Coturnix japonica: one gene and its partners. The protein of the gene in region 1 binds, or shares a complex with, the protein of each later gene. Links are inferred from orthologs where the notes say so. Each region holds a gene or a part of one and is shown in the gene's direction. Other genes may lie near its edges.

What was found.
Region 2: the proteins of F2 (region 1) and alpha-1-antitrypsin-like are in contact, whole or in part, in a crystal structure (PDB 3B9F), measured with the Homo sapiens proteins. The link is inferred for Coturnix japonica from reciprocal best matches to the Homo sapiens genes F2 and SERPINA5. Residues at the interface, in NP_000497.1 of Homo sapiens: Arg383, Pro386, Glu388, Leu389, Leu390, Cys391, His406, Cys407, Tyr410, Pro412, Trp413, Asp414, Lys415, Trp455, Glu457, Asn458, Leu459, Asn506, Arg541, Ile542, Asp562, Ala563, Cys564, Glu565, Gly566, Asp567, Val588, Ser589, Trp590, Gly591; in NP_000615.3 of Homo sapiens: Gln241, Lys295, Lys296, Arg297, Thr368, Ile369, Phe370, Thr371, Phe372, Arg373, Ser374, Ala375, Arg376, Leu377, Asn378.
Region 3: the proteins of F2 (region 1) and F2RL3 are in contact, whole or in part, in a crystal structure (PDB 2PV9), measured with the Mus musculus proteins. The link is inferred for Coturnix japonica from reciprocal best matches to the Homo sapiens genes F2 and F2RL3. Residues at the interface, in NP_034298.1 of Mus musculus: Glu385, Leu386, Leu387, Cys388, His403, Tyr407, Trp410, Asp411, Arg428, Arg453, Glu454, Asn455, Leu456, Trp501, Gly502, Asn503, Trp508, Thr510, Gln516, Arg538, Ile539, Asp559, Ala560, Cys561, Glu562, Gly563, Asp564, Val585, Ser586, Trp587; in NP_032001.2 of Mus musculus: Asp54, Lys55, Pro56, Asn57, Pro58, Arg59, Gly60, Tyr61, Pro62, Gly63, Lys64, Cys66, Asn68, Asp69, Ser70.
Region 4: the proteins of F2 (region 1) and F2RL2 are in contact, whole or in part, in a crystal structure (PDB 2PUX), measured with the Mus musculus proteins. The link is inferred for Coturnix japonica from reciprocal best matches to the Homo sapiens genes F2 and F2RL2. Residues at the interface, in NP_034298.1 of Mus musculus: Phe379, Gln384, Glu385, Leu386, Leu420, Arg422, Arg428, Thr429, Arg430, Tyr431, Arg433, Lys437, Ile438, Ser439, Met440, Lys467, Pro470; in NP_034300.3 of Mus musculus: Thr46, Phe47, Glu48, Glu49, Phe50, Pro51, Asp54, Ile55, Glu56.
Region 5: the proteins of F2 (region 1) and SERPINE2 are in contact, whole or in part, in a crystal structure (PDB 4DY7), measured with the Homo sapiens proteins. The link is inferred for Coturnix japonica from reciprocal best matches to the Homo sapiens genes F2 and SERPINE2. Residues at the interface, in NP_000497.1 of Homo sapiens: His406, Tyr410, Pro412, Trp413, Trp455, Arg456, Glu457, Asn458, Leu459, Glu509, Thr510, Ile542, Asp562, Ala563, Cys564, Glu565, Trp590, Gly591, Glu592, Gly593, Cys594; in NP_006207.1 of Homo sapiens: Val225, Arg288, Ser355, Ala356, Thr358, Thr359, Ala360, Leu362, Ile363, Ala364, Arg365, Ser366, Ser367.
Region 6: the proteins of F2 (region 1) and SERPIND1 are in contact, whole or in part, in a crystal structure (PDB 1JMO), measured with the Homo sapiens proteins. The link is inferred for Coturnix japonica from reciprocal best matches to the Homo sapiens genes F2 and SERPIND1. Residues at the interface, in NP_000497.1 of Homo sapiens: Lys384, Ser385, Pro386, Gln387, Leu389, Leu390, Cys391, His406, Cys407, Tyr410, Pro412, Trp413, Asp414, Lys415, Leu423, Arg425, Ser430, Thr432, Arg433, Tyr434, Lys440, Ile441, Ser442, Met443, Asn458, Leu459, Lys470, Trp511, Ala513, Asn514; in NP_000176.2 of Homo sapiens: Glu75, Asp76, Asp77, Asp78, Tyr79, Leu80, Leu82, Ile85, Phe86, Asp89, Asp91, Val305, Glu306, Met307, Thr308, His309, Gln327, Asp343, His361, Lys362, Arg388, Thr457, Val458, Gly459, Phe460, Met461, Pro462, Leu463, Ser464, Thr465.
Region 7: the proteins of F2 (region 1) and F2R are in contact, whole or in part, in a crystal structure (PDB 3LU9), measured with the Homo sapiens proteins. The link is inferred for Coturnix japonica from reciprocal best matches to the Homo sapiens genes F2 and F2R. Residues at the interface, in NP_000497.1 of Homo sapiens: Phe382, Arg383, Pro386, Gln387, Glu388, Leu389, Leu390, Cys391, His406, Cys407, Tyr410, Trp413, Lys415, Leu423, Arg425, Arg431, Thr432, Arg433, Tyr434, Ile441, Met443, Glu457, Asn458, Leu459, Asn506, Thr510, Lys517, Gly518, Gln519, Arg541; in NP_001983.2 of Homo sapiens: Ala33, Thr34, Asn35, Thr37, Leu38, Asp39, Pro40, Arg41, Ser42, Phe43, Leu44, Leu45, Arg46, Asn47, Pro48, Asp50, Lys51, Tyr52, Glu53, Pro54, Phe55, Trp56.

Annotation. Positions count from the first base shown.
Region 1 is NC_029520.1:20,933,990-20,938,125, reverse strand, and holds the start of F2 (prothrombin), read left to right. Parts: upstream 1-1,336; 5' UTR 1,337-1,375; coding exon 1,376-1,454; intron 1,455-2,370; coding exon 2,371-2,534; intron 2,535-3,009; coding exon 3,010-3,034; intron 3,035-3,213; coding exon 3,214-3,264; intron 3,265-3,784; coding exon 3,785-3,890; intron 3,891-3,969; coding exon 3,970-4,100; intron 4,101-4,136. UniProt on the Homo sapiens protein: Thrombin, which cleaves bonds after Arg and Lys, converts fibrinogen to fibrin and activates factors V, VII, VIII, XIII, and, in complex with thrombomodulin, protein C. Functions in blood homeostasis, inflammation and wound healing.
Region 2 is NC_029520.1:41,334,713-41,339,004, reverse strand, and holds the start of alpha-1-antitrypsin-like, read left to right. Parts: upstream 1-1,492; 5' UTR 1,493-1,512; intron 1,513-4,292. UniProt on the Homo sapiens protein: Heparin-dependent serine protease inhibitor acting in body fluids and secretions. Inactivates serine proteases by binding irreversibly to their serine activation site. Involved in the regulation of intravascular and extravascular proteolytic activities.
Region 3 is NC_029543.1:3,308,490-3,312,694, reverse strand, and holds the start of F2RL3 (proteinase-activated receptor 4), read left to right. Parts: upstream 1-1,405; 5' UTR 1,406-2,229; coding exon 2,230-2,320; intron 2,321-3,061; coding exon 3,062-4,131; 3' UTR 4,132-4,205. UniProt on the Homo sapiens protein: Receptor for activated thrombin or trypsin coupled to G proteins that stimulate phosphoinositide hydrolysis. May play a role in platelets activation.
Region 4 is NC_029547.1:21,497,022-21,501,022, forward strand, and holds the start of F2RL2 (proteinase-activated receptor 3), read left to right. Parts: upstream 1-1,201; 5' UTR 1,202-1,395; coding exon 1,396-1,450; intron 1,451-3,165; coding exon 3,166-4,001. UniProt on the Homo sapiens protein: Receptor for activated thrombin coupled to G proteins that stimulate phosphoinositide hydrolysis.
Region 5 is NC_029524.1:6,887,642-6,891,141, reverse strand, and holds part of SERPINE2 (glia-derived nexin), read left to right. Parts: intron 1-221; coding exon 222-341; intron 342-1,450; coding exon 1,451-1,678; intron 1,679-2,711; coding exon 2,712-2,906; intron 2,907-3,500. UniProt on the Homo sapiens protein: Serine protease inhibitor with activity toward thrombin, trypsin, and urokinase. Promotes neurite extension by inhibiting thrombin. Binds heparin.
Region 6 is NC_029530.1:84,899-88,919, reverse strand, and holds the start of SERPIND1 (heparin cofactor 2), read left to right. Parts: upstream 1-1,221; 5' UTR 1,222-1,347; intron 1,348-3,269; 5' UTR 3,270-3,278; coding exon 3,279-4,021. UniProt on the Homo sapiens protein: Thrombin inhibitor activated by the glycosaminoglycans, heparin or dermatan sulfate. In the presence of the latter, HC-II becomes the predominant thrombin inhibitor in place of antithrombin III (AT-III).
Region 7 is NC_029547.1:21,461,770-21,465,919, reverse strand, and holds the start of F2R (proteinase-activated receptor 1), read left to right. Parts: upstream 1-1,350; 5' UTR 1,351-1,756; coding exon 1,757-1,838; intron 1,839-4,150. UniProt on the Homo sapiens protein: High affinity receptor that binds the activated thrombin, leading to calcium release from intracellular stores.

The DNA of each region.
Region 1 (4,136 bases):
ACACAGGTCATTCTGGCTTTTCCCAAAGGTGTCTTTCCAGAATCCAGGTGTGGTGGGCGAGAGTAGGGATACTCCTGTTAGATGAGGGCGGGAGCCTCTGCAACTGCTCTTTGTACCAACGGCCACAGAGTCATTCCTGAGCCACCCTAATGCTAATATTTGCACTCCTTCTATGGAGACAAACATTACAGTTGTATCTGCTGCACAGAGGCACAGAACAAAACATGCTCTCTGCTGGGAGAAACCACATTTATGCCCTGTAGCAGCCTCTGAGCCTACTCCAACCCTGCCCTGTTTTCTGCTGTTCTCTCACCATTCCAACTTTCTGCATGTAGGAATCACTACAGCATTCGCAGCTGTGGTAGTTCAACTCTTGACTTGCTTGTTAGCTGATGTTGTGGCACCCATATAACTCTTGCCTTCCTGTTCCCACAAGCCTTTGTTTTTCTGCCTGTTTCTGGTGTGCTTGCTGCTTGCTTGTCAGCTTCTGTTTCCTTCTGGATGTACTTTAATGTGTTCCACTGGCGTGGGAAGAGAAGGGAGAGACCAGACTTCAAACTACTTCACCCTCCTCCACCCCGCTGGGAATTATAATGCCACGGGAAGTATACACTGAGGATGGCATTACTGACCTAACTGGGAGGAAAACTGAAAATCCACAGAGACTGCAGCCAGCACCCCTTCTGCTACTTGGCATGGGTGAGGGAGATGGAAGAAACTTAAATTGTGTGTTCTCGTGCCAAATAACAGACTGAACCTGCTGATAACTGTGGGGAGAGAAGACAGCTGGACTCTATGGGGGAAAGGGATGGAACTTGCAACTAAAAACAGGAGGAGGACTGGGAATGGCTAAGGAGATCTCCAAGTCTTGCTACATGTGAGGCTGCTAGAGTACAGCATCCAAGAAGATTTTGCAGCAGGGAACCAAGCCCTGATGATGGGGACGCAGCAGTCATGCCAAGAGCTGCAGGAGAGCAGGGTGACACAGAGAGCAGCAGCGAGCTGCTTGGGTTGGGGCAGCTGGCAGGGACCTCTCTACCAGCCCAAGCTCTCCCTGTGCCCTGGTACAAACGTATCCTCTTAATCCTCATGCCATGTTATACACTGGGATGCTAATTTTAATCTGGAGTGTGGCGGAGTGTCCAAAGACATTCAGTTTGGTTTCCACTAATTAAGTATGAAAATGAAAATGCCCCAGAGGGAGGGAAAGATGCCAAGAGAGAAGGGATAAGAGGAGCCTCAGTCCTGCTGTCCCTGACACACCATGACCTCTGGAGTCCTGTTTCTTCATTCTGGTTTAATATTAACCCAGCAGGGCTGTGACTCCACTTATTCTGCTCCCTTTGCATTTCCTCTGCAGCCAGGGCTGTGCAGCATGGTGCATAGCAAAGCCACTATGCTGCAGGGCCTGCTCCTTTTCAGCCTCCTGCACCTCACCTTGAGCCACGATGGAGGTAAGAACACAGGGAGATGGGCAGTACTGGGTGATTAAGGAAGGAGGATGGGCTTAATTCCTTCGGGTGGTAAAGCCTGTAGAGGGTTTTCCAGGTAGTGCAGAAGGAGATTCTAAAAGCCTGTAACTGGGAGTGAAAGGGTGCAGAGAGGAGAGTGAGTATTTTGCTTCCCTGCCCAGGAGGATGCAGCAGCACCCAGCAGCTGGCAGGGAAAGCTGTGACAACAGCCCAGTGGATTTCACAGGTCACCTGACTGATGGTGGAGGAGAATGTGGCTCAGAACAAGACCCCGTGTAGCACAGCTGTGGGGCTTGTTAGTTCCTCAGCTCACCCCACTGGCTGCAACTCTGCATTGCCTCTCCAGCCATCCTTTATCTGAAGTTTAGGTCATACACAGTACGCAGCCTTCCTGCTTACTGCTCCTTTTTCTTTTACTAGAGCCTCTACTTCATCTACTTGTTTTTAATATGAGTTCGGGTCCTTTCTATCCCACTGCTGTGTGGGGCAAGACCTGTCACAGGTCTCAGATCAGGGCCTGTGAAGATGAAGATTGACTTTACCTATGCCTATTGCAGTAGTCTGAAATTGGCAAGATAGAAATTCAGTGGTTGACAGACAGCAGTAGCAAGCTCCAAGCAAACAAACAAACTAGCAGAGCAGATTTGCCAAGGATAGCAGAAGATTCTTGTCACTTCTGTGACCTGGACGAAGCCAATACTGACAGATGAATTATAGTGAGGCTGCTCTGACCATCAGCTGTGGACCTCACAGGTCCTTGACAAAGCTTCCCTTATCTGTACGGTGAGCTGGGGAGGCTGGGCTGTGGGAGCATTACACCAGCTGAGTGAAAACTTCGAGACACAGGGACCCTCCCACCATGAGCATCCCTTTGACTGGCAGTGTTCTGACTCGGTAGTTTTCCTGGAAAAGGGGCGGGCACTGTCACTGCTCAAGCGTCCACGACGTGCCAACAAGGGATTTCTGGAAGAGATGATGAAAGGAAACCTGGAGCGAGAGTGCCTGGAGGAGACATGCAATTACGAAGAGGCCTTTGAAGCCCTTGAATCCACTGTTGACACGGTACGTCACAGGCCACATCGGTGTCCTGCAGCCAGCTCCTGCCGTGAGACACGTGGGTCACAGACAGCCAGGGGCTGGGATCATAACAGACAATTTTGTGCTATAGATGGAAAGCTATTGTGCCTGTCACCCAGGGGGAGACAAGATATCCTTAGGGAAATTCCCTCCTAAAGCCACTCTTGGAAACGCACCACAAATCTCAAATTCTTTTTCCTCCCTCTCTATTTTAAGCGTGAAATGAAATAAAACAGAGCCTTCCCTCAACCCCATTAGATAAGAATTTCATCTTCATCTACTAGTTCACTATGGTGCCACACACATTTCAACAGCCACAGGCCCAGACACTGAAAGAACAGCTGACAGCAAACAAATTTTGAGCGCAGGTGCCTCAAGCCTCTTTGAGCTGAAACTGATGTGCTGCTGATCTCTACTCCTCGATATTTACGGTGATTTTTCTGTTTCTCTGCTTTTACAGGATGCATTTTGGGCAAAATACCAAGGTACGTTGCTTCAAGTTCCTCCATAACCCATCCTGGAGGAATGGCTCCCTACCCTCTTAAAAGAGCTCACTCACCAAGAAAAACACTTGTGTTTTGTCCCTAGATGATAATCTGGTTCAAACCATGATGCTTGTTTAGATTCTTTCATGTAACGTGCTTCTTTCTTCTTATTTTGCAAGTATGTCAGGGCACAAAGATGCCTAGGACAACTCTGGATGCTTGTCTAGAAGGTAAGAAGTGAATGTAGATCTTAAGATCCCAGATACGTTGAGTGCCAGGAATTTGCTTCATGCAGATTTTGGAAGGAAAAACAAAAATAATCTAAAGTTGGCAAGAAAGAAAAATAACAAGGGGAGTTTTAAATGCCTTTCTTGTTCTTTATTTCTCCATTATCTATTTTACAAACTGCCTTACTCCTCCATTGAAATGGCATAGGGTAGATACCCTTATCCCTGTGACAAAGTAATGTGGTCTTGAGTATAGCTCCAGGTTAGACTGGCCTCTCAGAGGCCAACTTCTCTAGCCTGTGCCTTATAGCCAAAGCAAAGCACAGAGCTTCGGGGAGAGCTCCATCTGATAAGGCAGAGCAAGTTTAAGTGATGTGCTCTTCCCATCTTACAAAAAGAATGCCCATGGTTGTGCAGGCTCACACACATCCACAAAGTTAAAGGAATCTGTGGTACTTCTGACACTGAAAAATACAACATCCATTCCACTGACCCAGGCTCACCTGTTTGGGGATTTTGACAGGTAACTGTGCTGTTAATCTGGGCCAGAACTATCGGGGGACAATTAGCTACACCAAATCGGGCATTGAATGTCAAGTGTGGACAAGCAAATATCCACATATACCTAAGTAAGTTCATCTCTTGCTTTCCCCTGCAGTGTTCTCCAGGGTGCCTTTCCTTCATAGCCTAACCACCCTTTCCTCACAGATTCAACGCCTCCAATTATCCCAACCTCATTGAGAACTACTGCAGGAACCCAGACAACAACTCAAGAGGTCCGTGGTGCTACACACGAGACCCAACAGTGGAACGGGAGGAGTGTCCCATTCCAGTATGTGGTATGTCTCAGCACTACATCCCAGCTTTTCTCCAGC
Region 2 (4,292 bases), about 20 Mb from region 1:
TGTGGGTGCAGAGAAAGTAATAATAGGCTTGAAGGAAAACAAGGAAAATAACATATTTAAACAGCCAGAAGCCAGTGCCCATACACAGGTCTTTGTTCCCAATGCTGTGTGGTATTAGCTAGGAAGAACAGCATGTAATATAGGCAACAGCCTTAAAGGTCATTCACTGAAAAGCAAACTGTATATTCTACTGGAAAATTTACTGATTTTGTATTAAATGCGATAACAAATAGGTACCCATATTTCAATAACAATAGAAGGCAGGGGCTGCTTAAGGAGAAAAACAAAGCTGAAGTACATAGTTCTGATGCCAGTGTATTCTCATCAAAAGGGAGATATCACAGAATCACACCACAGCCAATTTGCATTTTTATTTGTTTTCTAATACATGAGAACTTACTAATCAGATCTTGTTACTAATTATCTTGATACCGGATAACTCATTACATTCCTGTGCTGTATGATACTGTTCTTTTCTCCATGTCGTCCTCAGGACACTATGTCAAAGAAAAATGTTAGCAAAGTTATGAAGTAAGCCATGATGCCCCAATGATAACGAGATAGGAGACTCAGCTTAATGCCAGCCTACTGGTCCTAGAGTTGATCAATGATCAAAACACCCACAACATCTTTTTTGCTGGAAAAAAATTATCCCCACAAATTGGTTACTGCCAGTCATATCCCAGCCCCATCACTCAGAGTTTTGGACTTCTCAGTATCAGGTATGATGTATTTCATTATGCATTCAGCATAATAATAAATAAAACCCAACCAGTAACTAGCAGATACCTCTGGGCAATACTAAATAAATTTCTCAGCTCTCTGGTGATTTTTCACTGAAACAGTAGCTGTTAGGAGAACAAAACAAATGATGTAGTTCACACTGAAGTAATGTTAAATCAACATTTCTGTTGTTTATTAGATTCCTGGTGTATGCTCTGTCATTTGGCCAGGAATAAAATATCTGTGGGGCAAGATGGAAGGTCTGTGGCTATTTGACTCCTGAAAGTCTTTGGCAAAGATTTGTATTTCTCTTCTTCAGGTACAGTATAGTTTAAGTTGGGGTTTTGCTTGCCTGTTTGTTTTTAATCTATTATATATCATAATTCTTGATTAGGAAAGTACGCACAAAGACATTGCAGTATTGTGATAATTGTATTGTGACAATAAAAACGTTTATGAATACAATCACTTGAAGAACTACTGTGTTTCACTGTTTTACTCTTGTTTGAAATATCCCTCCTGTGCATACTGAACTTTACCTTTTCCCAGGTGTATGGCAATTTGGTAATCACAGCCTGAAACTGATTATCAGCTGAGGCAAGTGTCAGCTCAGCTGTGGGAGCACAGGTGAGAGTAATTTAGCTGTGCTCCCGGAAGGGGTGGAGCTTGACTCCACCTCCTCTAGATCTCATTTAAGGGCTGACCACCACTAAGGCGGCATCTCTTGGAAGTTGCTCCTTGGTGGAGATTGTCTCAGTGCTTCCCAGCAGACTGAAGGCTTCTACATGGGTGAGTTTTTCCTGTTGATAACTTTTTAGATATTTATTACCACCTTTCTTGTACCATTACCATCTTTACTTTATTGTCACTGTGCACCAGGCTACATCTGCAGCATTCTTCAAGACAATGATTGACAGGATGTCTGACTTTGAATTTCAGTTTGATTTCCAGGAGCTGCTTCTAGATTACAGACACAGAGACTGTCAGAACATCTCTCTAGCTCTTCCTACTTCACTTCCCCAGTAAAAGCAATGTGCTTCTACTTCTAGAAATCTATGAATGTTTTGGACAATTTCAGTCATAAGCCATTTTGATGTGGGGAAAAAAAAGTAGGTTTACACTGTCCATCAGAAACGGACATAAGCAATGCATTCTTTATTAGGGCTGCTTGCTTTCCAACACATACTTCATGTCACTCATTCTGTCTGGGTAGCTGGTTTTGATACTTAAGAGATTTCTCCTATTAAAGTGGATCTGAATGAGTTTGGTATGAGTAATGTTGAGAATGAATGAGAAATGAGAAATACTTCTCAAACTTGTTTCACAGTATCTTCAACAGCATGTAAACCACTAGATGTTTGGATTAAAAAGAAGGAAAATGGGAGAGCTTTCTTAGCAGCTGATTTACAGGTTGTGGTTGCTTTATGCTGTGTAGAGTGTAAGCAACACAACAAAGTGCAGAAGAAGACACCTTGGTAAAGAGACGCCTTTTGAGTCTGAAGATAACATTTGTGTTACAACCCATATTAAAAATGGAATAGATTCCTATTTTCATTCTATAGGGCAGTGAGGTTGACAGCAGTGAAAAAGGGAGTCATCCCTCTGCAGAACATGGACCAGGAAAATATCTGTTTTGAAATAAATATTTGGGCCTCACTTTCTAAGATTTCTATTTCTGTAACATTTTTGTTTGCATTTACTGTACTACATACTTATGATTTTGGGTTTGAGTTCTTTTAAGTCTGATGAATTGCAAATGAAACTCAGAGCTATTCCAATCTCAGATGACTCACTTTTTGGCCGGATTTTGAATGCTGTAACATGTAGAGTCTGCTTAGTGCAATAATTCACTTCCTGAATTAAAAAGAAATGAAGAAAAAATAAGGACAAAATCAAAATTGGGTAAACATACATATGTAATTATAGTACTTGATTCTCTTCTAAAAACATTCCTTTTTTTGTAGCTGTGTTGCTATACGAACTAAGACACTACAGATAAAAACTTTCATTTAATTCAGTATAGCAAAATGAAGGAACAAACTGACTCAGAAGCAGTGTAAAGGGTCTGATTTGCCTCATATTTCCATTGCTTTTAGCAGCGAAGTCTATGCTTATGTAATTTCTCTTTTACTGACATTGATCTCCCAAATAGTTCATCCCAAGATCCCCCAGAAATTCCAGCTCTGTTTTCTTTCCAGAACACTCAAGTTGGATATGACATGTATGCTTTGGATGGAGGTGGAATTTGGGTGGAGAAAGATGCTGAAAGGTCAAGAGAAGTTTAAGGGGAAAACAGCCTTTCTAAACACATCAGTATTCATGGAGTTTGGCAATACTGAACTAACCACTGAGGCCTAAAGTTTAGATCTCATTTCTGTGGCTAAAACTGAGGAAGTATTTTTGGCACACTGGATTTAATGGGTGTTCCAGTCTTTCTTGAAGAATTACTTCAAAAACATAATTTAAAATTCTTTCTTTTCTCATTGTATATATGCTGGCCTTTGAGCTCAGTCATATATCTGAAACAGAATCAGTTAACCTCTGTTAATACTGATGGCATTACATGGATAGGTGCCTAATTTTCATTATGCTTTCTTACCGATTTGCCAATTCTATTCCTCATTACATTTTAAATGGCAGCCAGCAAACAAGTTCACTCCCACATACTCACTAGTCACCTCAGTGACTAGCATAGCTCAAGAGCTGTAAGATACTTTGACATTTCCCTGGAAAGCAGCAATGTATTTGAAACCTGTCCTATCTCCAGGTGCCTATCATCAGCAGTGCTGAGCTGCATAGGTTTTACAAGTGGGTCACAGCAAAGTTAGCTGACAAAGCATTTTATTCTCTCCTTTGAGACATTTCACTGCCTTTCCAATGCTCTCCTGGGGTCCAAATTATCCATGTAGATTTGGGAACACAAAGGTCTCACCTATAACCTGATAGAGACACAAGAGCAACAGAGCCATGGCAGTTTTCATTCAATTCCTACTAAACAAGATCAAGCTGAACGAATACAACATCCTCACTACAAATGATAGCCTAGAAATATCAGGGCAATGTCAAAGAGGAATGATGCTGAAGCTGTCAGAAACTGAAAAGAAGATGAACAGTTTCAATATGGAAAATTCTAAATGAGTACTTTTTTTCTGTTATCATGAGGTAGTCCAGTACTGGGAGAGGCTGCCCTGAAAGGCTGCGGAATCTCCATTTTTTGGAGATCTCCATCCCATCTTTGCCTCTTGATCCTTGTGTAATTTGCTTACTGTTTAGCACGATGTTCTTGAAGTTCTGTTTCATTTTTTTAATGGAGAATATGCAGAGGTTACACTAGCAAGGATTGCTGAATATGGACTTAATTCTTATCTTCTCTCTTTGCGGAGATCTTTACTGTCTTAGATAGCAGTTTAAGCTGTCCATATCCAGAAATATAGAAAACCTGGCCTAGAAATATAATTTTGAAAATGTCAATTATAATGATGTGCCGCAAGAATCAACATGTGAACAACAAAAGTCTAATTTCTGAGGTGATAGTTAAGTAAGTTACTGTGGTCTTAAAACTATGACTC
Region 3 (4,205 bases), on another chromosome or scaffold:
AATCAGCATTGCATTCATGGAAAATGTGAGGTTGTGCTGACAGCGGTGGAAACGCTGCATGCTGCTGGCTCTGCCCAGAGCTGCTGCCTCTCGTTCTGCAGCAGGAACACGAGCTCAGCCCAGGGCAGGATTCAGCTGCACTAGTTCTCTCTTCACACCTGCTGGTTTGCAGCTGAGCTGCTGGAACAGAGCTGGAATCTCAACCTTGCTACATGCACCTGAGTCCCAAAGTCAGATCAATCAGGCCCTAAAGGCACCATGTGGAGCAGGGCAGGTGCTGCTTGTACCTCCCTCACACCTCTAAAATCCCTCCCTCCCCTTTGTTCCAGTTCTAACTGCTCAGGGTTCAGAGTGATGGAAGCAAAGAGTGCTTTCTCCCAGGAGATACCTATTGCACAATGAGCAGCTTTAAAACCAAACTGTTACCCGACAGGGAAGGGAGCACATGAGATGTTAACAAGCTGTGACAAACTTCTGGCATGAGAATTTTCAAGCAAGCTGTTCTGCATCTAAAGCAATCACTGAAGATCACACAGCATTTGAAAAGTGAAGGATAGAGCAGTGAATAACCTCACCCTGCTCCACTCCAGAGACCCATCTGTAGGAAGCAGGGCTGTGATTTGCACACTATCTGCACCTGATTATGGCTAATTTTTTGCATACAGAGCATGGAAAGGATCCTGGTTGAGGCATGGAAAATATGCGGCCACATGAGTCATGTTGTAATGGTTTATAAATCTTGAGGGAATCACAAAAGCAAAACATCTAACATTGCATCTTCCCTATCCCTGCCAGCGGAACCCCACCTCTCAACACAGGGATGTGAGAATATGGTGAAAGCAAAGGAAATAGGATCATTTTCTCCCTGGAATAGAGGAATCTCATCGAACAGCAGCCAGGCTCAGATTTGCAGCCTCCACAGAAGAGGCCATTCATGAGCCGAAGAAACAGAAATGAACTGCTCTTCAGGTTGCCAAGCCAAATTTACAATTCCTACTGCCTGGGCTCCAGCTCCATCCTTACCTCATGGAGAGGCAGCCCCAACCCAGCGCTCCACAACTGTGCCCTCATTGCTGGGAAGGGAACACAGAGGCAACAGGGAAAGTCCAAGTCCTCTCCCAATGGTGCTGCGTGAGAGCGCAGAACAGCCTCACATCACAAAGAGTAGAAGAAGAGGGGGCCATGGAGCTCTCCAGAGCCATCAGGGTTGGAACACCAGAGCAGTGAGGCTGGAACTGGGTGATCTTTGCAGTCCCTTCTCACTTAAGCCCTCCTATGATTCTACAGCTCTGTGCAGGCAGTTGGTTGTGGCAAACTGCTCTGCTCTCCTGGGGGGCGTTGGGTGGAGGCTGCTCATCCCTGGAAAAAACACAGCTCTGTGTGGGCACAAGTGGCTGCAGTTCACCATTATCTTCCAGAGCACAGAGATTTCCTCAACCCACGTCAGCCCCTGCACTGCAGGAGGGCTCAGCTCACCCAGCTCCTGCCTATCGGCGGAAGCAGCACATCTCCATCAGGTCCGGACCTCACCACTTATCTCTGTGCGTCACAGCACCGGCTGCTGCTTCCTTCAGATGCAAACAGTTCCTCGCCCCGTGGCCTTTAATTAACCTCTGCAGCAAGAGCAAGGAGGGAGGGAAGCAGGATTAGAAATAAAGAAACAGAGCTATGGTGGGCTGAACACAAAATGGGGACTGCAGGGCAGAAACCAAACCCTGAACTGTCCCCAAGGCCATAGCAGAGCTCTGCAAGCCCCAGGAGCTGTGGAGGTTGTGGCCTTCCATGGCTGTGTGTGGGGATGACATCTCCCAAAGGCATTGAAGAAGGGTGGAGAAGGACATCAAGCACTGCACAGTGCTGCTCAGATCCCTCTTGAGCAGAAGGATGCTGTTGGACACAGAGCCCAGAGGAATTTCAGTGCAGTTTACACTCCAAACCAAATTCAAAGTGCGTCAAACATGATTGTTGTTATTTTCAAGAACAGCCCAGAGCAGGGAGGAGACCCAAATGAATCACTTGAGCTCTGACAGATGATCCCTATGGGTTTGGATGCGTGCATCCCCCCAGCTGACACTGCAGCTACATCTCTGCTCGGACCACACTGGAATGCCGTGACAGGATGAGCCCAGTGCTTCCGACTGTTAAGGATTGCAAAGAGGAAACACGTAAGCACAGCCGCTCACACAGCTTTTCCCAGCTGCCTTCCAGCAGTGCAGCTCCTGTAGCAGCATGGGGACCTCCAGGAGCGGGTGGTTGGCACCCCGGCTCACACTGTGCTGTGCTGTGTGGGGACTGTGCCTGGCAGCGCTGGACTACGATGGTGAGTGGGCATTTTTGGGGGGGAAAAACTGCTTCTTAAAGTACAACAGGTTTGGGACTTCTAAAAGATCCCTGAGAACCCTTCTATGAAACGTTATTCTGGGTGCTCCATCCCTGGAGGTGCCCAATGACATGGATGGGGAGGGGCACTGAGCCCATGGCACAGGGATGGAACTGTATGTTCTTTAAGGTCCCTTCCAACCTGAGCCATTCCATGATTCTATGATCTGAAAGCACATGCTCACCGAGATTCGTGCCTGCTCTACTTAAAACAGGAGGTGACGGGATACTTATGGAAGGGAAATTAAAGCCGGCGTAGAATAAAGTAGCAAGAGACAGAATCAGAGGGGTCGAACAGAGTACTTGAAACCAAAACCTTCAGCTAAAAATTAAGCTCCCACAGCCACAGCTTTGCACTGGAGTGGCCCTGGATCTTAGGATCCAGGGATTGTGCCCTGCTCCCCTGGTACTGAGCTCCATAGCAATTGCAAGCAGTGGGAAGCAGAGCACAGCAGAACAGATGTGTCAGTTTGCAGTAAGGCCCCTGATAGACACTGCTGCACACCTAACTCCATCTCTGCTTTTTCTGACACATGAGCATTTTGCAGAATGCTCTCACTGCTCGAAACCAATATAAAATGCAGCACCTTAGAATCTGGTGTTAGCATCATGAACCAGCCTGCTCTGCAAAGCACTCATATTAACACGTGCAGCAAGTAACAGACTGCATTTACACCAACAGATTACTCTCAGAACAGCACCGGCGAGCAGATAACAACAGCAGAGATCACACCATGCCCCCGAGCCATCCCCGGTGAGAAGGCAAGGATAGATAATGTGACATACCTGCTGCTGCACGAGGCTGCTCGCTCCCAGCTGAGCAGTGGGGTCACAGTGCTGCTCATCCCATCCCTCTACAGCCTTGTTTTCCTGCTGGGGCTGCCCTCCAATGGGTTGGCCCTCTGGGTTCTGGCTACCAGGACTGAGAAGCTGACCTCCACCATCTTCCTGATGAACCTGGCTGTAGCAGACCTGCTGCTCATCTCAGTGCTGCCCTTCAAGATATTCTACTATTTCCTTGGGAACAACTGGCCCTTCGGGGAAGGTCTGTGCCGGGTCACCACAGCTTTCTTCTATGGGAATATGTACTGCTCAGTGCTGCTGCTCACGTGCATCAGTGTGGACCGGTACCTGGCAGTGGTGCATCCTTTCTTCTCACGCTCTTTCCGTACCCCTGCCTTTGCTGCCTGGACCTGTGCTGCTGTCTGGCTCTGTGCTGCTGGCATCACTCTGCCCCTGACTCTGCAGCAGCAGTCATACCCCCTGTACAGAGCAGACATCACTCTGTGCCACGATGTTCTCCCTAGGCAGGAGGACGATGGCTATTACTTCTACTACTTCATCTGCCTCATCACCTGTGTTTTCCTTGTTCCTCTGGCAGTGATGCTGTTCAGCTACTGCTCAGTTCTGCAGGCCCTCCTGGGCAGTGGGAAGCGGTACGCCCACTCCATAAAGCTCACAGCTCTCGTGCTGGTCACGCTCATGGCCTTCTATACCCCCAGCAACGTTCTACTCCTCATTCATTACTCCAGCTATCAGTGCAAGCTGTACGGCAGTTTGTACATCAGCTACATGGTGAGCCTGGCCATCAGCACCTGTAACAGCTGTGCTGACCCCTTTGTCTACTACTACGTATCAGAAGATTTCCGGGAGAAGGTGAGGAGCACATTCTTCAATCGCAGCAAAACACCCTCCTTACAAACCTCCAAAGAAACACTCCCTCAGAAAAGCTCCAAGGAATCACTGGTTTAAGCTCCCATCCCAGCTCCCTGCCCCCAAGGCACTCCCACCACACTGTGGGGATAGGACAAAGCACCAGGACTTCA
Region 4 (4,001 bases), on another chromosome or scaffold:
GCAGTAAGTGTGAGAGACCTAAAAGAGTCTGATGATGACAGAAACAGCAATGTACTGGTTCAAACAAAATATAGGAACATATACACGCATACATAAATATATTGGAAAATAAAAGCGAGAAAAAGTCAAACAGCTCCTGGAACCATCTTCACAGTGGATATTGCTGTCATACAGACCAACTCTAGGTCAAAAATTCAAGAAATATATTATCCATAGAAATTGCAAAGAAAATAGGGTAAAAAATGGCACAAAAACACCTCTGTTTCAATCCTCTGTGTAAACATACACTAAAATATCTAAATAAAGTCAAGTAGTATTAGGCAATAGCATGACAGTGGATGCACACAGGCGTAGTAGAAAGCTGGAGTTAATTTTTGAGTGTGCATTTACTCAATTCCCAAACTATGGCTGAATTTATAGCAATGAATTGCGAAACTGAGAAGAATTTCTTATCTGGTGTTCAGTTTCAGCACATTAAATAGAAAAACAGATACAGATTTTGTTCTGGAGCCAAGCCCTGTTTATACTGAGCCTTGCCACTAGCTTGGAAGCTAGACCAGAACTCACAATAATTTTGTCTGCTGGAAGAAAGCCACTGTTTCTTGGCTTAGGTGGGAGTGGTGGGAGGGGAGTATGGAAGTGAATTTAAAAAAACAACAGAAAACACCCACACAGGCAGAGGAACAGGAAGGGATCAACGGAACAGCAAATGAGGTAAAACTATGAGAGGCTGCAAAAGGGGGTAAAATGTCCTGAATAGAGCAAACAGCTGGGCTGAGATGCAGACACAGCTGGTTGTTAGGTGGATGCAGAGGAACTGAAGCACAGCAACACTGTCTTAAGGCATATGTGTATCCCTGAGGTTTACTTTCGCCTCTGCATTTTCTAAACCACGATCACCACACTCTTCCCCACTTCTGGCCTCTCCCCAGGAAGCATACAGAGTTCAGCAGTACAGAATTTCTAGTCCAGGGGTGTGACGTCTGAGCCTTTAGTAAACAGTTTTCCAGAAGGTACCTTTTTCCCCAAACACTTGTACATAGAAATTCCAGCTGAACTTCCCTTTCCCTCCACTGCCATCACCTTCAGGGCTGTGGTAAATTAGGAGTTAAACTGCTGCTGTAAAGCAATTTAATCTCTGTGTTGGGCAGAGGCTGAAACTGAGTCATGTGTGCATATTTGGATACGTCACACCCTCTTGCTGTAGTAGACAAAGAACAAACTAGCTCCTTGCCATAAATCTCATGCCTACAGGATGCTTCTGGAGGACAGATCAATTGTGCCTTAGTGCCTTACAGAGGGAAGAAAATCCCCCCCGCCTCTGAGATGAACTAGAACTGCGCTGCCTTTTTTTTTTTTTTTTTTTTTTTTGGTATCTGGATTTAGAAAACTACAATGAAGATTCTGGTTTTCACTGGACTGCTCTCTCTAACATCAACTCTTACAACAGGTCAGTCCTCCTTTCTGTATCAGCTTTCTACTTTAGATGATAACATTTGCTTTCTGATAACACTGGTGCTTTACTGGCTTTAATGGGCTGCGCACACACCGTTGCATTTTGCTATACTCCAGCAAGTTTCACTTTAGGCAGAACTTCATTCCATTTCAGTGATACCTTGGACTACCTTCCTCTTTCCCAGTCATTTTCAGTAAGGGGTTTTTACCTAAGGGATCATTCTTTCCGTCCTGAAAAACATATCTCATGTTTCTGTAGTGAGATGATACTCTTTAACCTGTACAGTCTTGTTCCTTCCACTTTGAAACGTTCAACAGAACTGCAGCCTCAGACCACGTTATTAGAAGGAAATTTTCTGAGAATTGTTGTGACAAAAAAAAATCACTGAAATAACTGAACAGTAAGTCTAGTTGCTTTTTAATTCACTAAAACGACAGCTGCTTCCAAATGAAGACATTTTAAAAACTACATTTTGTATAAAAACAGATATGCATACTTGCACCTAACTTTTAAATGGCATCTGAAATTATTTTTTTATTAATCACCCCAAAGATTAGTAAAAGGGATGGAGGTGTACTAATTATGACTTCTAAAAGCTCTACCAAAAAACTGCCAGATTCACAGCAATGAGTCTGAATAAAGCTATTTTCCGTGTTTTGTTTCAAGCTGGAAGCACCCCCAAGTTTTCATTCAAATTTCAGTTTGCTTCCAAATTTCAGTTTCAAGATCCATGCTCTGTGCCTTGCGTGAAGCCTTCTGGCATTAAACACAGCCAAGGCTTTTTTTTTTTCTTTTTTTCTTTTTTTCTTTTTCCTTTCTTTTTTTAATGCAAGAATTCTTCATGCAGCTGTTGATTCTACAACAGTTATTCTGCAAAATAAAATATTTTCAGACTATGTGTGAAACACATTCATACTTCAGTAGGAAATGTAGATGCCTTTACAAAGCTCTCCAACAAGCACTGACGAGCAGGCATCAGTAGAAGTTAACCAGCATCACTGGCTTTGCTCACAAGTCACTGATATTTACTGATTCAAAACATATTCCTGGTGCATGAGAAATTTTATTCACCTTCCAGTGAGCTTGATCTAACATCAGTGTAAATGTTCGCATTCAGGTTCTGGGACCATCATTCCTCACGTACAAGGTGCTGAAAGGTCTTAGTTTTGCCTTAGTCAGAATCCAATACAGGAACGTAATCTTAATTTGGTGTGCGAGACCAAAATTATTTTTAGAATTATTTTCAAATTTGAAATTTCCAGCCTGTGCTCTTTCCATCTTCTCCAGTCATGTATTTCATTCACTAAGTGACAAGGACAGCACTGCCGTTTGCTTGGAAATTCTTACCAAGTCTAGACCAAATTTGCTTCTTATATAACAAATAACCAATACTGCTACCACCTTGCAAAAGCTTACATACAAGGTAACCTTTAAACTGGTGTTGGACAACTTTGATAAGGATGACTGAAAGCACCTCATGAGCAGGAAAAGTCTGTTTAGCATTACATTCACAATGAATTTTCAAAGTTGGGTTCGAAATTACAAATAAATAAAGATTGTTCATGAGCAGTTGAACAGCCAAGCAACAGGGAGCACCACCAAACTTTATAAACACAGGTTGTTTTTTCACTTGAAGGCAAATTATATTCCCAACCCATTAGTTCGCCTATTTTAACTGTTTTAACTTTTTTTCTTGTTTTGAACTTTAGAGTCTTCGCTGAATGATTCTGCAATTAAAACTGTGTCTCTTATCAAGACTTTCCGTGGAATTTCACAAAGAGACTATGATTACATCCCACCTCATGTTATAGAAGGGGAGACAAAGACAATCCATACCAAGGAAAACAAAAGCTCTGTGAAGAAGTACAATGACTCCACTTTAACAGAAGTGAACAACACCACGTTGGAATACCTGACTAGTTCTCTGAGCACCAAGCTAATACCCACTGTCTACCTCAGCGCTGTTTTACTGGGTGTACCATCTAACGCTATCATCTTGTGGATGCTGCTCTTCAGGATCCGGTCTGTGTGCACTGCCATACTCTACACAAACTTGGCTGTTTCGGATCTGCTCTTCTGCATCATGCTGCCATTCAAAATAGCATACCATATCAACAAGAACAACTGGATTTTCGGAGAAATTATGTGTCGAACTACAACAGTGGTATTTTATGGCAACATGTACTGCTCCATTCTGCTGCTCACATGCATCAGTGTCAGTCGCTACGTGGCCATCGTTCACCCTTTCACCTACAAGAGCCTGCCAAAACGCACCTATGCCATTGCTGTCTGTGCCACTGTGTGGACCATCGTCTTTTTATACATGCTCCCACTCTGCATAATGCAGCAAAGCTATTATGTGAAGCAACTGGGCATTTACACCTGCCATGATGTGCATAGCACCTGTGAAAGCATATCTTCTTTCCAGTTCTACTACTATGTTTCTTTAGCTATCTTTGGATTCTTAATGCCTCTTGCAATCATCATTTTCTGCTATGTTTCAATTATACGAACACTCAAGACTCACGAGTGGTTCTGGTATGTG
Region 5 (3,500 bases), on another chromosome or scaffold:
ATACTCTCTGTGAGACACAGAGGTTCTCAAACTTCCCAGAAGGTAGCCTGTATCTTGCTATAGAGACTTGGTATAGCAACCTACCTGTCTGTTAGCACAGGCTTCCTCTGCTTTTGTTCAAGATTGCCTTACAGTTCTTTGGCAGCTACAGCAACTTCTTTGGAAGGGTAACAGTTGGAAAGTATTTAATCTATCTTTAGCTGTCTTTTAATGCAATTTAGCAGCTGGAAGCAAGGAGGAGAGCCAGCGTCATGAGACCAGCCAGCTCTCCCCGGACCACCAGCAAGTGCTCCGTGGACCACCAGTGGTCCACAGAATACAGTTTGAGAACCTCTGTTATGGTATGTTCTCCAAAAGGGTTTGCTCATCATATTGGAGAGTGAACATGTAGGACTTCATACAAATGGTAATGCTAAAGCATTCACGATGTTATAAACAGCAAAGCCATCTGAGGCTTTTTCTTATATATAGCTAAGAGAATAACTCAACTAATTTATTCCCTTCATAGCTCATCTCTTAAGTTTGTCTACATAGGGAAATAGCCTGGAATTGTTCCTGCCTAAATTGTATTGGGAAACAGAGGGAACTCGTTAACAACTGCAGTGAAAACAGCCACTCAAGTATCCTGTCCAGTGTAATGGTTGAACATTAAGATTCTTGTCTGGCAGTATCTTCCCCGTGTAGACAAATGCTTATTCGTAAGCTATAATAACATGGAGTATGATGAACATAGCAGTTCTTCTGTGCTGCCATTTACATTCTCTTGTATGCAGTGAAGGAGCTATCAAGCACTCAATATGAGCTGCTTTCATATCTTAAAGATCCCAACTGTATTTCTGGGAGCTTATACTGCTTTTCTTTTTTTCTTCTTTAAAGACCAGCTCATGTTGAGATACTGACTTATGCTTGTAGCAAATATAGTTTTCTGAAGGACTGTGTCCTAGCTGAAGTCTGAACTTGAACCTGATATAGAAATCTTGATGGTTTCTACCTATCTATGGATGGTGAAGCAGCTTAAGCTTTGTGCTCTGAGATTCAAGACCACCTGCAATTGTCAGCTATGAGCCCTGGACTTTGTCTTTGCTGTATGGCTGACAGGTTGTGGTTTTTGCATAGTGTGGCATGTTTTGAAGCAGCATCTTCTGTAGATGTAATTCTATACTAAGAATTGAACCCCAATATTTATGCTTAGCATTGTCTGGAGCATCCTCTGTGGACTGTTAGACAGGGAATAGGCATCACAATGAAAGTAAATTTCCTGGGAAATAGTAGCGCTTCTCAGGCAAGAGATCAGAAATGTCTATTTTGGAAGCCCTCTCAGAATTGGTTTGGTTTTTTGCCTACTTCAGCACTTTAATGTCTGACCTTTCATGTCATTAATAGTTGCATATAAAGTAATTGTTTGTTTGTCATCTTGTTCTAAATTAAACTTGCTGTTCTTTCCAACTAGGAGTTGGTAAAGCGTTAAAGAAGATAAACAGGCTCATAGTCTCAAAAAAGAATAAAGACATTGTTACAATTGCTAATGCAGTATTTGCAAAGAGTGGCTTTAAAATGGAAGTGCCTTTTGTTACAAGGAACAAAGAGGTGTTTCAGTGCAGTGTCAAGAGTGTGGACTTTGAAGACCCAAATACAGCCTGTGATTCCATCAACCAGTGGGTGAAAAATGAAACAAGGGGTGAGTATTAGCCAGTATTTTCTGTGCATGAGTGGCATCTGAGACCTCTCAGATCCGACTGGGAATATTGGAGTGAAATAGAGAGGGAGGAAACTGCCTTGCAGTTGGAAACTATCAATAAGCTGGCAAGTACGATGTGTTTTAGAGTCTGTTTGTCAGTGCCTTAGCAGGTGTACTTGTGTGATTTGCGTGTGTGCCTGTCCCTCTGTGAGATTGAAAAGCTTCTACTGTTAATCATCTGTATTTAATCTGCAGGAAACCCAGGCAGCGTTCTCTTGAAGCTGGGTGTTGTCAGATATGAGGGGAAGAGGGAGTAAAAAAGCTTGAAAGTGGCTCAGTACATCAGACTTGGAAGTAGTCAACAAAAACTCTAGGGCAGTTCAGCTTTTGCTGTAATACCCTAAATTTTTGTGATGCGTCACTGTTATTAGGAGTAATGTTTAGTAGATTTTTAATTCACACTGCCTTGACAGAACTCCTCATGGTTCAAGTGTGCTGACGTCCATTTGTCTAGTTTAGATGTACCATAGACAGAGATGGTGCTTTGCAACATGGCCATAGTCTAATTGATTACATGCTTAGTATCTCATGGAGTTAAAACTAGATGTGAGGAGTATGTTGCTAATGATGTTGGATGTGCCATTTGTGAAACAAGGATGTCAAATTCTTTCTTTACCATGTCACCAGCTTTGCATAGCTATGTTACAAGCTGTGTGTGAAAAGGGGGGAGTGCTTCAGTTGAAACTGTTATCACTGTGACCTCCTTACATTGAATCTTAGATCTGATCACAAGCTGAAAAAGGTAAGGCCCAGTAAGCTGTAACATCAGTTCATAGGTTAGCTAGATATGCTGCTTGTTTTCTAGGTATCCCAAAGGGTTACTTTTTAAAACAAAGCAAAAACTATTGACTGCATGGGTCTCAAATCTTATACAATGAGTAGCTGGCATGTTCACAGACATTCAAATGATTTGAACTAAAACGTGCTTCACTGTCTTTATGGAAACAAATACTTATCTTTTTTTGCTTTCTAGGTATGATTGATCAAGTTGTAGCTCCAGATGATATTGACAGTCTAACCAGGCTGGTTCTAGTGAATGCAGTGTATTTCAAGGGCTTATGGAAATCACGATTTCGACCTGAGAACACAAAGAAACGGCCATTTTATGGAGCTGATGGGAAGACCTACCAAGTTCCCATGTTGTCCCAGTTATCAATCTTCCGTTGCGGTAAGCCCAGTGACTTTCAGTGAATACCTCAGAAGGAGTGGTAAAAATTTTGCTCTTTTCCTTCAAATGAAAGAGTGCATTGACACACTTATTGCAGCTGATAGTGGAGACTGTGTGGTTATGAAAGCATTTTGTACTGGTAAGGTATGGGTAAGGTTGCTATGAAAGGTTGCTCTAGGTCAAGCACTCTAACAAAGTACTTCCCTTATCCTGCTTTTCAATGAAGTGAAAAACATGAAGTACTGAAACTGAGAACCTTGCATATTTCCTAAGCCTTGCAGTAGGAAGAATTTTAAGAGATGAGAATGAAGGAGGGCTGCCAACAGAGACTTGAGGCTTATCTGCTAATGAGCTGTAAATAAAAGATTGGAGTAGAATTAGTGTGTGTCACAGTGTAATAAAGAAATGGAACGTGCACAATCAACAGTGCTGGGGGAGCCAGAGGAGCACGTGTTCTTCAAATTCAAATTGAGTCACAGGACAATAGTTCAGTAGGTTTGGCCTGAGTTCTGTATGAGAAGCTTGGAGCTGATGTATGAGTCTTGATATGACTAACAGTGTACCTCAGCATGTAGGTGTATGGGTACTGGTAAA
Region 6 (4,021 bases), on another chromosome or scaffold:
GAAGAAACTAATACAATATTACTAATGTTATACTGAAGAAAACTCTATTTTTTCTTAAGACAGCATAAATTCAAGATGACAAAGCTAACTTTATGTGGTTTCACACAGGAATACCAACATACTGATACAGTAATCCAAAGAGAACACCTTATATTAGCATACATCAATTGTAGAGAGGAAGAGACCACACAGTCCTTTAAACTGTGAGCTAAAGACAGCTTCATGAAGTTTTATTTTAGCACAGAGGAACTCAAACTCAAAATATTAGTCAAACATACTTCTGGTTGCTATTGTTTATTGGATTTGTGGAAATACACTGAGGCTCCAATTGGGGATCTTTTATTGTTTTCACCCACGCATACAGTGACATCAGTCCTGGAGAATTTACTATCTAAACAAGCAAGTAAAAGAACATCATTTTCAGCACATCTATTCAAGTTGTCGGATAGCCTTTTCACAGACAGCTGCTACCACTGGAGCAGTTTATACTCTCAAATAACAAGATGACATGGAATTCTTACAAATCTACACTGAAAATCTGACAGTCTTTTACTCTAAAATTGTTAGCAGCATAGACAACATTAAAAATAATAATAATAATTAAAGGAAAGCTTTACTGAACTGTGAGCTTTATCTAATACGACCAGATATTATAACTGTAGACTTCATCTATCTAATCTATACTGAAGAGATTTTTTCTAACTGCAAAATAATTCTGCTGTGGTATGAAAATGCAAAGTACTTCAGTAAAACCTTACATAAAGCTAATTCAGAACATATTTATCTTAGATCAGTCTGCCATTAAAAAAAATAACTAAAAATTCCTATACTGCAGTAAAATTAACCTGAGTCCTAGCTGGTGAACAGCACTGCTGGGCTGACAGCAAATGTCTGCAGCAGTCGCACAGTGACAGAAGTAGCCAGCCTCACAGACCCAGTGGCCCCAACCACATTTGAAGTGACATACAAATAGTAACATAACATCATCTCAGCACAAAACAGTGGTGACATGGTTTCTGCTAGTCTTAAACAGCCAAGTTTATGTGCATACTTGACTGTGAAACTTTACATACACCAATTTTTGCTCAAAGATTTTCCTCAAATATGAGCAAATAAGTACCTGCAAAGCCATAAAAGAAGTTCAACAAACAACAAACCAAGCAATCCAGCAGAGATCACTAGGCAAGGGAGGGATTTTGGCTGACGAAGTAAGTTTAGCAGTGTTTGGTTTAGAGAATGTTTACTTTGGGAGATACACAAAAAACTAGCATCAAAGTTCAGATTTAAAACTTGCCATTCCCCTCACTTGAGCTATTCAACACATCTTTTCCACAGTGGGACTTAAAGGTAAGCCTCATTCACATCCGTTATTTTAGGTAAATCTGACACAAATGCACATATACTGCATAGTATAGGAATGCTTTGTTTGTGTAGGTGGAGATGAGCACCAATTAAACTTTACTGAAGGTGAGAATTTAAAGTTGGGAACAGTACTGACAGCAAATTCTTGTATGGCAAAAGCAGAAAATATTTTTCAGTGGTTAATGGACAGAGAATGCCAGTCGAGAGAGAAAAAAAAAATAAAAAAATCACCTTTTTCTTTTCTGGGGGTGGGGGAAGTAATAAAAGAAAGATGAATTTATGAAGAAATGAGTTCTCCTGACTCAAGTCCTTTAATCACAATGTAAATCTTTCAAAATGCACCTTTTAGTGACCTTTCATCATTGTAAAGACAATTCATTTTTACATGGGATAATCACCCTTTTTTTAAGGTTTCAAGCTAATTACTTTGAGAGGAGAGTTCAGAAAATTAAGTCTTAGCTTAGTTACTTCGATCCTGTTAAGAGCCTGAAAAGTGCTGCAAGCAATGCTTTACAAATTTGTGCATCTATGCATTTTACTTCTACAGCTTCTTGGTCTATTTGCTAATTTGCAAAACATTTTACTCAACCTCTAAGTAAAATTTTACTTGCATCATATTCAACATTTTTTCCTACATTTTAAATCTTTGTGGGGTTTTTTTTGTTGTTTTTTTTTTTGTTGTTGTTTTTGTTGTTTTTTTTTCCTTTACTCAAACAAGTGCTGTGAACTGAAATTGATTTTATAAAATCACCAAATAACTTTCTAAAGAAGCACTGTCAAAAAATCAAGACCCTGGCATTCAGACACCCATTTTGCAGTGTCACCTGACACAGTTATTGTATGCTCGTGTATTGGTCTTTGATTACTGCAGGAAGAAATTAAACTTTTTAAGATTACTGTAATTACTGCAAGTCAGAATTATGGTGAAAACCTACCTCTTGTCAGATGAGTAAGGGTGACAGATTAAATTCAAATTATGTATCTAACATCAGTTCTTGATTTTGAAGTTGTGACAAAAAACAAAAACAAACAGCAATGCACTGCCCAGAGACAAAGAAGAGACCAAGCTCCTTTTTGGGAAAAAAAAAAGCAGGTTCTGCTGACATATACATATGTAAATATGTACATTAAATATTATTTTATATATATGTATATCAAATATTAATATGTATATTTAATGTGTACAGTAAGTGAAGATAGAAATCTATCATCATGGTAACACTAAGACTGGAGGAACAGTTACAGACATGAACTTAGAGGATTTCACACAATGAAGAAAACAAACAACTCTGCATATTGTGCAGTGCTGCATAAAAGTAGAAACTAAGTAAGAAGCAGATTCAAGAATCCAAACGGAAGAGGCAGACAGATGTACCACAGTTGTAAAAAGTGAGCACACCCATGGAGTAACACAGAAGAAAACAAACAGGCCAGAACATTTAAATACTTTACACGCTGCTGTCCCACTAATAGCATAGTGCAGATAAATGTCTACAGCCCAAACTTCCTTTTTTTTTCCTCCATCAAATTTCAGCAGCACTGTTCCAGAAATTCTCCTTTTTTTTTTTTTTTTTTTAAAATAACACAGTCAGTAAACATTTTAAACAATTCTATTTTACACATAAATACATCAGCGTATTTCAGGTAATTAATTTGTCATCACTGGAATATGTCAACCACTACTTAAGCAGGAACTCAACCAATTATCTAACAGGATGGAGACATTATGTATACAAGAATGGTCACCACTAAAACAGGTTACCTATCTACTTAAGACAGATAAATGCTGTCGAATAAAGTAACTGCAGACTTTGTGACTTGACAGAATCCACCGAAGACCTAAACTTACGGAACAGAAACAGACAAAATTCAATTACCCTCTTTCTTCCAACTTTGTTGTCTTCCAGGTTTTCAAAATGAAGTTCCTATTTCGTTTGCTTGCTGTGGCTGTCATCATAACCTCCACGTTTTGTGGAATCAAGGATTTCAGTGACCATTTTGAAAGCCTCAAAGATGCACATACACACGAAAATGGAACCTATGAAATGCCAGACCTACCACTGGAGTTCCACAGAGAAAACACTATCACCAATGACTTGATTCCTGAAGAGGAGGAGGAAGAGGATTATCTAGATCTTGACAAGATATTGGAAGATGACTACAGTGACATTATAGATGCTGCTCCACACATAGTTTCTGAAGTTCAGCAAGGAAATATTCTGGAACTTTTCCAAGGCAAAACCAGAATCCAACGTCTTAATATCCTCAATGCAAACTTTGGCTTCAACCTTTATCGTAGTGTAGCAGACAAAGCCAACTCCTCAGACAATATTCTCATGGCTCCTGTTGGTATTTCCACTGCAATGGCTATGATTTCCCTGGGTCTGAAGGGTCAAACTCAGCAGGAAGTATTATCTGTTCTTGGCTTTGAAGACTTCATTAATGCCAGCACTAAATACGAGCTCATGACTGTACATAACCTCTTTCGGAAACTCACTCACCGGCTCTTCAGGCGCAATTTTGGTTATACTCTGAGATCTGTCAATGATCTTTATATTCGAAAGGACTTTTCTATTCTTAATGATTTCAGAAACAATATGAAAACATACTACTTTGCTGATGCCCAACCAGCTGATTTTTCAGATCCTAACTTCATAAC
Region 7 (4,150 bases), on another chromosome or scaffold:
AACCAGAGTGTTCAAAGCATGTAAGTCCTCACAACTTGAGGACATAGTCCCACTGTGGACCTTAATCTGTCACCTCTCTAATCTCCAGTTTGAACCCTTGGAAAGATGTTTCCTTTTGCATTTCTCAGTAAAACAGAATTCTTAAAATGCTCCCACATCTGCAAGGAATTGAACTAGGTTTGTGGCCTGTTTTTACTATATATGGTGTGTTAGAGTTAGTTCCATATTTGATTATACATATTCTTTTCAAGGCCATCTACATTTAGGTCATCAATGTCACTCTGCTGTGCACATTTACAAAGATTAAAACCACATTTGAGTCTTATAAATACAGGCTATGTAAATGGAGTGCCTTTGACAGAAAGCACATACACAGAGCTCTGCGTGTTCACAGGGTGCCTGAATTTCATTCAGTGAAATGAATCTGCTAAAATAATAGGTGTTTATATGGATGGCACAGTGAGTTTTTCCCACACAGACATCCCACCAGTAAATACTGTAACTCATTCTCTATCTTTTGAAGGCACCTCTCTCAGCTATCGCAGCTTTATGGAAACTGCAGCATGGTAGATGAATTCAGACCTCAAATAGCTTCTGCTTGTGCATACACCAAAAAGATAACATTGGCTATTGAAAGCCTCTACTGTTACACTACCTTCACATATTCTTATACAGCAGCAAGACCACAGAAGTGCCCAAGGTTTCACTCCATCTTCCAAAACAGAAAAAAAAAAATAACTAACCTCTAATTGAAGTGTTTCCTAAATTGATAGAAGCTAAGTTTGTGATTAAGCAAAAGGTATCTTCTGTGGGCTCCCCACTGTGTCCAAGGATGACAGAGGTTTGGCTATGGATATGTCTCTTGCTAACTAGCAACCACCTCTTACCTGGTGGCAGAAGGGTCGGCCAGCAGTACGGCTATCACACTGCTTGCTTTGTGCAAACAGCAGTCAGCCTAACAGTGTGATAATGCAGAGCAGTGGCCAGAATTGTGCACTGCCGAGCAAGATAAGATTAGCACTGGATCCTCCTGCTGTCAAGAGTTGACTTCCCATCCTTGTTATTCTCAGTTAAGTATCAGTGTTTCTGCAGTAATAACACAACTGTAACTGATCCAGTTCTGAACAGAGGCCTCCTCCCATTATTCCTGTACTGCTCTAAACACACGTGTATATAGTTGAGGGCAGGGCTGCATAGCCCAGCAAATCACGGGACGTGCAATGCTTATGACTGCAGCACATACCTCAGGAATAAAATACACTCAAACTACCGGTGGAGTGGAATAGCATTCTCAGCAAACACAGCCTAAACGATAGCGGCAAAGCCGTCTACCTCTACAGCTCCGTCGGGGCGCCAGCACACCGGCCCTCCACCCGCACAGGTGCCGCAACACTGGGAGCAGCCCCGCCCAGACGGAACAAAGCGGGCGTGAGAGCCACGCGGTCGAGGAATAGCGTTGGGTTGTTTTGTGCTTCCAGCCTGCCCAAACCTTCGGACAAAATCCCTCGTTCCGCACTTCTCCTTACCCGTGGGATACTACAAGCCAGCAGCACCACAACCCCCAGCCCCAGCGGCGAACCCGGCACCACCCATCCCTCCCACTAGGGACCGTCCCGCCCCCGCCCGGCAGGAAGGCGCCCCCGCCTCTCCCAGCAGCGGCCGAGGGGCGGCCAGGCTCGGCTCCTCCCGGCTCCTCCCGGCTCTCACTCGCTTCCCGGCGTGGCCGGGACGGACGAACCGCGGGGCTCCGGCAGCCATGGGGCTGCTCGCGCTGCTCTGCGCCCTGGCCGTCCTCAGCTGCCCGCTGTTGCCTTCCCCCGCCGCCGCCGTCCGAGCCGGTGAGTCGCGGGTTCGTCTCGACGCGGCGGGGGCTGCCAGGGGTCGGGCGGGGGCTCGGCTCGGCTCTGCCGCCGGCCTGAGTTTGGGGGGAGAGCCTGCTCGCTTCGGAGCCCTGAAGCGCTGCGGTGGGGGTGCTCGTGCGGCGTTGATTGCTGCGGTTTGCCCAGATAAGTGTTGATCGGTGGTGGGTTTCTTTGTTTTTTGTTTTGTCTTGTTTAAGTGAATGCTACAGCTCTGGAATACAGATGATGCCGGGTGTTCGAAAACAAAGAACGGTTTACAGCCACCCGGCGGCTGACGGGGTGGCCGAGAGGTAGCAGGTAGTGGCGAAAAGCTGTGATGGGCGGTGGGATGCGGAGTTGGGTGCCCCAGAAGCGCGTTGACAGCTCCGAGAGGCAGCGTGTCTGCCGAGTCTGCAGGTAGCACCAGTCCGGGGAGGTGTGCCGGCACCAGCCAGCTCAGAGCAGGCTCTCCAGTTAGATGAGTTTCCTCTTTGTTCATCTGGAAATAACACCGATGACAGCGTATACTCTGCCGGATGAGACTTCCGACCCATCTGGTTCAAAACCCGACTTGGTGGTGTAGCGTGCAGGGAAAGAGTGCAGAAGACATGCCCAGCCTTGTGGGTTCTAGCCGAGGTGCAGTGGTGCAGAGCTAGGTTAAGCACTTGCAGATAGCAAAGGATTCTTCTGCAAGGTTCTGTGTAACACTTATTTCAGCACAGCGCTCCTGCTGAGGGAGCTGGAACAGAGGGTCTGCAGCTAGGAGCAGGCCTTCTGAAACAAAGGCTGAAAGAGGAGTGAGCTGGTGCTTGTGCTGGGAGGAAAGGACCAGAGGGAGAAACCTAGTGCTGCTATACAACTTATTGTCACAGGGACATGAGGGAATAAGGAGACCACAAGTGTGTTTATGCTGGCAGAGAACGGAAGTGTCCTTGTTGAAAGAAATGGGGGGAATGCATGCGTGGGAGGTAATAACAAACTACAGAAGTTAATGCTGGAAGAAGACTGTACTGCTGAATGCTCTTATTCCAGTTTCCAGAAACATCCAAGCTTGTTTTCCTGCTTTCTGCAGTGTAGTCTTCTCTAAAGGACATCCTAAAGTGCATCATTCATTTGCTGCTTCCTTAGGAAACAATGAAGAATGTAGTTACTGTATGATAAGAGGCTGAGAAAAGCCCAAATTATTTGATGCACAATGGAAGCAATAAAGCCCAGCAACTGAGCATGGCTTCTCTCTCATTTCACCCACTCCCTCAGCAGTGTCATTTCCCCACAGCAGCCCTGTTTTCACCACAGTGTACTTAGATCCCCTTTCATCTGCATTGCTCTGTTCCTAGGCTCGCTCTGTCCTTGCACCTGCAGCTTCTTCCCTGCTCTCTCCTTGTTCACTCAACATCCACAGTTCCCACCTTGTTGGCCTCAGGTGGACCTGCAGACAGGAGGAAGAAGGCAGCTTTGTAGCAGGTGCTGGGCACTTGCTCCTGAGCTCTTCAGATGCTGCCTCTGAAAAGCCAAGCAGCATGCTGGCTGAGGTCTGAACTGGCCCACGCTTTCCTGTATGGCAACAGGTGACTGAAAAGAGAAATGTTGCCATGGCTTGGAGCCAGCACTTGTAGCAAAAACTAAGGAGAAAGGAAAGCAAAAAGGAACAGTTTGCAAGAAAATGGTACTTAAGTAAGCTGTGTTAAAACTGCTACTGAGTCATTTATGTAATACAGTAAATGAATACTATATAAATGGAGAGATTTGACAAAGGATATTTTAAAAATTATGGTGTGTGTTGTTACAAAAGGTAGTCACTGTCATCTCTCCTACAAGATTAGCTTCCTTATGAACATGTCTCACTTGCACATCTCATTCTATCTTTACTTAATTTACATGCCACTGAAAAATATGGATTCTAGATGCCGGTTATACAGAGGGGAGGTACAAGGAGCACTGTTTTTGTTGTAAGCCAGTGGTGCAGCACCGCAGTCAGTAATGTCCGGAACTCAATATAAATGGTTATCCAGTGGCACATCTTTAACTGGCTTAACCAATGTTTAGTTTCCACCTCATAAAAACAACCACTGGGAGATGAACATAAATATTGCTTGTTTATAAACAAGTATATAGAAACACTTCTGATTTATTTTATTTTTTTCCCTGGTACTCAGGTGATGTAGGGTGATGTCAAAGATTGGTTGAAGCTGTTGTATTTTTTTGCTCTCTACTTTTCCTTTCATGGTGCAGTATTCTCAGTAGCTTCTTACATGCGAAAACTGACATGAAATGAAATTACAAAACAGCTCTGTGTAGAACAAAGCATC